Coturnix japonica: one gene and its partner. The protein of the gene in region 2 interacts with the protein of the main gene of each other region in a biochemical or structural test. Links are inferred from orthologs where the notes say so. Each region holds a gene or a part of one and is shown on either strand. Other genes may lie near its edges.

Evidence for each region.
Region 1: the proteins of PARD3 (region 2) and JAM2 form a complex in vitro, tested with the Homo sapiens proteins (2 studies listed by BioGRID and IntAct, with this or other methods). The link is inferred for Coturnix japonica from reciprocal best matches to the Homo sapiens genes PARD3 and JAM2.

The regions. Positions count from the first base shown.
Region 1 is NC_029516.1:92,177,829-92,180,820, reverse strand, and holds part of JAM2 (junctional adhesion molecule B), read right to left. Parts: intron 2,677-2,992; coding exon 2,471-2,676; intron 1,366-2,470; coding exon 1,263-1,365; intron 540-1,262; coding exon 432-539; intron 1-431. UniProt on the Homo sapiens protein: Junctional adhesion protein that mediates heterotypic cell-cell interactions with its cognate receptor JAM3 to regulate different cellular processes. Plays a role in homing and mobilization of hematopoietic stem and progenitor cells within the bone marrow.
Region 2 is NC_029517.1:12,117,969-12,121,623, forward strand, and holds part of PARD3 (partitioning defective 3 homolog), read left to right. Parts: intron 1-916; coding exon 917-1,144; intron 1,145-3,655. UniProt on the Homo sapiens protein: Adapter protein involved in asymmetrical cell division and cell polarization processes. Seems to play a central role in the formation of epithelial tight junctions. Targets the phosphatase PTEN to cell junctions.

The DNA.
Region 1 (2,992 bases), on a different chromosome or scaffold from region 2:
ATGTGCTCTTTCACCACAAACCAGAAGAGGGAGCAAGTCAGTTAGTTCTCCTTCATCAGAACTCAGCTGCTCCAAATATCATGGATTACAAGTAACCTCATACGCCTTGTTTTTTGCAGTACCTTTCTTTCCCATTCCCTCTCAAAACTACAGCAGAATCTCAAGAAGCCAGGGTTCTGCTTGCTGCTTTTCCTAGATTGCTGTCTGCGAGCCTTATGCAACTGTACAAATGCCTCCATCTCACAAAGTAGAAGCTGCGTTCTCTGCAGTAGAAGGCTGAATAAAAACGCACAGTGAAGTTGCTGTTGTAATAATCTTTAGCTGTAGTGCCGTGGAAGTGAAGTGTGAGAAGTACATGTTATGGTCAGCAGAAATATAGTTTAGTTTTGTTGTTTTTTAAACCGAAGAAAGAGTGATTTTACTGTACTTACTTGTAAAATACCCTTTTTTTTGAGCATAAAGTACTATAAGGCCACACAGTGCCATTAGCAGAGCCACAATTACTACAGCAGCGACGATACCACTTACATTAAGGTCATCTGTAATTATAAAAGATAAATACAATGTTTTAAGTTTTAAAAATATCCATTAGATGGAATTCTTTTCCCCTAATTCCTACAGGTACCTTTTCAAAACAATAACAAAGCCATCAATAAGCAGAAACATTTTGATTGATCTTTCTGTTACCTAATCTTTGTTATATTATCATTATGTAGAAGGCCGATTACTTATTTGGATCCTGAGTACAAGACATTAATACACTGATGTAAATTTTACCCAAAGGTTTTTGCTGTTGACATCTCAAAGTCCTGTGAGGCTATTAGTTAAAGAAGAAAGAAAAAAATAAAACCATAAAGCTACACAGATAAACTAACAGCGGGCTGGTACATTATGCTGTACAACACCCACAAAAGCATTCTGAAGCATGAAGCTTCTCAGATGGACACTGTGGTTCTGTGACATTCACTGCTGAACAACATTAAGGGCTGGATACTGCAATCATTTTAAAGTACCCAACTAACTGCTTTTCTGTAAAATACAGTGCGACACATACACACACACAAGGAAAAGAAATAAGGAATGCTTTAAGCAGCCACCCTCACTACATATAAGGTTCCCTAATATATGAATATTATTCCTCCCCCATAATACTGTAATCAAATAAAAGGCTGTAATTCAATCTTAGTTTCTCAACTGTATCGCACAATGAAATCAGTTCAGATGCAAGACCGTTTTCTGTCCCTTTTTATTCTGACACATACCCACTTGCATTCGCTTCATGGAGCATTTCTGAGGCAATCCAATCCCATTTGAGGCTACACAGAAATACTCTCCAGTGTCGTTCTTTGAAACAGCGTTAAATGTCTGTTAAGACAAGAGACCAAAGCTGTTACCAGAATGGGAAAACAAAAACAAAAACCCAATTTCCTGCAGTATAGAAATTTTGACATATCTTTTTTCCAAAAAATCTGAAATAAAATGAGAACTTCTGCTCTCATGTTCATCTCGATCCTGCTCCCTACTCATACGCTTAGATCTTAACTTCAACTACTTGTACACGAGGGTCTTCTAGATAGGCATTTTTACTAAATGGAGTGTACAAAATGTAGTACAAAAGATACATCCCAAGGATTTTTTTCCCCCCACAGAAATGTTACTTTCTCCATTATTCTAATGGAGAAACGCTTAGCTGCATTATTTATGAAATACTTCTAATGTAATAAGTACAGCGAGAAAACAGAAAATGGATGCTGACCTCATAACACTTTTTGTGTTTCTCTGTAATTATTTTTATAATCAGATTTGTTAAATGTTCTCCGTTTAATGTATCCTATACACCAAAACTATGACTTTTAAGAAGAGATTAATGTTTCTAAGTAGCTCACGGTGTGCTGAAATATCTATGGCACCCGTGAATGTAAAGGCACAAATGATGTGACACAATTTGGTTTCCAAATGTGAGCAGAGTGTCCCTAAAATTGACTCTTCTAAAAAGAAATAAATAAGATCTCAGCTTAGCAGTATGTGATCAAGTACAGGGCTGGAACCTTTAAATGCCACTGCAGAGATTCTGGACTGCTGCATTTTCCACTGAAGTGTGTTAAGTTGCTGTTTTCGATTTTAAGGCACTATCAAATACAACTTGGTTGACATACTGTGAGATCGTTCCCACCTGGAGCTGGCTGGAGAACCAACTAGGTGAAATTTGTCATTTATTTGCTAGATTCTTCTCATTTATAACTACTACAGCCTTATAAATCACCCACTTTGCCTACCACACTCGACCTCTATGATTTGTCATTGGTCTGAGGCAGAAACCGTACCCTATAAATTTGTTATCACATTTCAGTGTGACATTGATTTCTGAGAGAGGCCTTGTGCCTTGGATTAAAGCCACAGTGCGTTTCTGTGCTGTACAGAAATTTGGTTTTCTCTATGGCTGCTTGTTACAGTTGGTTACTGTGCTTACCAGAGTGCCAGACTTTTTATTCATGGTGTAAGTTATGTCGGCTGTTCTAGCAGTGCCCGTTCCTGTCTTTTCCAGTAAGGCAACACCATTCTTGTACCACTGGTACTCAGATGGAGGAGACCCCTCAGCTTCCTTGCAGCTCAGCTCCACTACTGTTCCTGTCATTGCAGAGGTGGGTACCACACATACTGGAGTAGTGGGAGGAACTGGAAAACAAAATCGTACTTGTTACACAGTCTTATCAGTATTGTCTACCCCACAACTGTTTGACAGTCACTGAGGAGGTGAACACTTGTGTACGTGCTCAACAGCTACCACATTAATAAATAGGGGCTCTGGAGACATGGTGGATGGCAGAGTTCTGCTACTGAGGAGCACTTTAAGGTCTGTAAGCTGACAAAAACAGTGAAGGCAGAGGTTTGCTCCTAGGGTCCCTCACCATGTGCACCATACTCATTTTTCTATCCTTTCCCCAAGTGGGAAAAAAAGAAGCAAGGAAAAAACCCATAAAGCATAATAGAA
Region 2 (3,655 bases):
CATGGTGAAGAGTTGCTATGTTGCTGTTCTGTATGTCCAGCATCCCTCTTCCTGCTTTCATTACACCTCATCTTTCTCTCCAGGCACAAGTCCTATGCAAAAGCTAGCCAAGAGTATTCTGAACCTTTTAAGAATATGATTCAAAGTTCAGTGAATTCTTTTTTCTGATAGATCTCTCCCAGTTTTAACTATGACATCGAATTGTGCAACTGTCAGCTGATTTTCACTAAAACTGTGTATCCAAAAACAGAGCCTAGAAGTGTAGTGCTGTGGTACTGCTGGATTAACTGGGGCTTTGCCATAGATTTTTATAAACAAATTCACAAAATCCCACCAAACCAAGTGATATTTCTCAGAAATATTTAGTTATGGAAGTGTTAGCATTTTGATGCAAGCCTTTAAAAGTCAGTTTAAACTAAGCATATTCCTTGAAGCTAGAAGTCGTAGTACTTTACCAGAAGGTCACTCTAAACACGATAGGATTCATTACCAGAATATGCTCTCTGTTTATCAGTTGCTATTAGAAATGAAATTTTCTGCTCTAAAGAAAAACTTATTAAGTTTGTTTGATACTGTAAGATTTGTATCTCTGCTGTTTTTTTGAGATGCGTTTAAAGCCCTGAGCTTACTTTTATCATTCAGATTGTTGAAATAATAGCGATGGGTGTTGGTATCTTTTCACTGATTTGAAAAGCCAGACCTTGCTAACGTTGTCGGTTTCATTGACTGTAACTTGACATACTCATTCACTTCTGAGACCAACAAATCTGCTGAGAATTCCATGCAGATTATTGAGAGATGATGTGAATAATGTTAAGTGTGTCCCCAAAGACTTTCACGATGGATATGCATAATCAAGCATGCAGTTCTCTACACTAATTCTAATTACTTTTTTTTTCTTCCCTAAATCACTAAGGTTCCCCGACCAGAGATGTAGGGCCTTCATTAGGTCTGAAGAAATCCAGCTCATTAGAAAGTCTGCAGACAGCCGTTGCTGAGGTGACTCTCAATGGTGATATTCCTTTCCACCGCCCCCGCCCACGAATTATCCGAGGACGAGGCTGCAATGAAAGCTTCAGAGCTGCCATAGACAAATCTTATGATAAACCTGTAGCAGATGATGATGACGAAGGCATGGAAACTTGTAAGTAGGCTATTGTTGTACATAATGAATGTTAGCAGTATCAGTCAATTCCTTTAGAAGGTAATTAGAAGTGATAGAAGATAATTTTAAGATTTTAAAAGAATAGAACTAGTATCTCTTCCTGGATTTGTTTCAGGCTTTTGCCCTTCATATGCATTAAGCAGATTGCAACACTCTGCAGCTTCCTTCCTTCCTAAAATAAGGAAATAAGATTATTAGGAGTGTGTTTACTTAAATTATTATGAAAATTTTCTGTAAGGCAGCTAATTAATTTACTGATGTAAATTAGAAAAAAAAAATTGCACAGAAACTAAAAAAACCCCACTGAATTAATGTTACAAAAATATGTGCATCTAACTTTGAAAGGGTACATTTGTAGTGTCTGGGGAAAAAAAAGAAATCACTGTCCTTTAATTAGAATGAGTAAGGCTGGCAGATCTAATAAAATATAAAGTTAATGATCAGCTATTACCCACCCTAATGGGCATTCATTTACATTTTCAGTTCTTTAACCCGAAGTATGACCCAACATGTGGAGAATGTCATTAACATAAAAGAATCACTTCAAAGCTAACCTTATCATTATTGAACTGTGTAAGAATGGGCCGGGAAAATGACAACTTATATTGAATAAAAATAGTGTGAATGGTAAATTATCTCAATCAGAGGTTGTATTAAAATTATGGAATTTTTAACCTTCATGTTGTATTAGTTTCAACTTGTCACACACACCCGCAGAATTTTTTTTAATCGACCTGTAGCTAGTTAAAAGTTTATGAATGGAGAAGACGCTTGGAAAGCTGAAATGGTAAAATATTTAGCTTGAATACTTGCAGAAAAGCCTTGAAAAAAACTTTCCACTCTCTGCTAGTTTTAAAATGTTAGTTTCTGAAGTGCCAATCCGTAATATTCCATTGCAAGCTTACTCCTTTTATATTTTTGAACGCGCTTTGGTTGTTTTTCTTTTAATCTGTTACTAAAAGTGTTCTGAGACTGAAAGGGCGGTCATTCTGCCAGTCACTTTTCTCAAATATAGTTACAGGCAGAATTAATTCTGCTTCGCTTTTACCATACCTAGCAATTTCATGAAGCAATGAGGCTAAAAGCTGGTCTGGTGCTGCTGGCTGTCATTCTGTTTTTGACCAGCAAGAGAACAGGAATGAGAAGAAGTGTAATGGTCCTGGTCATCCTCCCAGACTGTGTGTGTATGGTCTTCTGGAATGTATGGTCCCATTTTCCTAAAAACCCTTATATGGTGTGAGCCAACTGATGGAGATAACTTGTTTTGAGGTATGAGATATACAGGGCTTACCCAGAAGTTACAGATGATTTAACTTTGTTTCACAAAAATTACAGCAAAACTGTTTTGAAAAAGTGTATTCTATGTGAATATAGGCTCACATAAGATGTTTTGAGTTTATTGATGCAACACATAGAAAGCAGAAAGAAAATATTTGGTAGTCTTTGTATTCTTTGCCTGGAAGTTATGGAAACCAGAAAAAAATTCAGTCTATAAGTGAAATGCTGTGTGGTGAGTCTTCATCCTCATCTTTGTATGGATGAAGTCTAGCACTGATGGACCAGGAGCCATCTCACTGTCATAGGAGATCAAGAGCAAGATTGTTTTTAAATCTTACCTGCTAAGGTAGGCCTTCAGGAAGTATGACCAAGATATATCCATGGAACTGCAGGTTCTGTTGAAGCTGTGGGGCCAAATAGCTTCCATGTATTACAGTAAAGCATCTACAAAGTAATACCGAAAGTTACACTGCAAGTCACTGCAATTGTAATAGAAAGAGATGCGTAGTAAAGCAGCTGTAGTAAGTTCATTGAACAGAATTCAGTTCAGTGAACATTGTTGAAGACCCTTTTGGTCTTCCCCTTCTTATGGTGGCCAAGAGAGCTTAATAGCTAATCCAGACATATGGGGCATGGGATCAGCTCAGAATGCTAAATCCTGAGGTCTGTCTTTCTAGAAACATGTGTGTATCTGTAAAACAAAACAAAACAAAACAAAACAAAACAAAACAAAAAACAACTGCAGTCTTCCCAACTTCGTGTAAATTTTTTGTAAATTCCAGAGAATTTGCCAAGTGATGTCTGCAGCTGGAAAAAGTCTGTGTGCCTTTGAATACGTGGAAGTTTATTTAACAATCTGGTACTGGCCTAATGGCTCGCTGCTGCCATAATGACATGGCATAATTCTCTTTTAATTGTATTTAATTATTTCATAATTGTTTGAAATTAAAATGTGGCTTTCTTGTATTATAAAATTCAAGCAAACAAGTTGGTGGTCAATTTGCTGATACCCTTGAGGTTGGAATCATTTGTCTTTCTTGATATGTTTTCCCTTTCTTCTCCAAATGTTTCTGTGCTGAGAGTGCTTTTCTTTTCCAGACTCTGCGCTGCAATATATTTTATAGAGGAATTCGTAACATGTCATTACCCCAAATAAGAAAGCCATAAAACATAGGTAGTATGTGTGGCAGAGGGGCCGGCTCTTCTAAATTA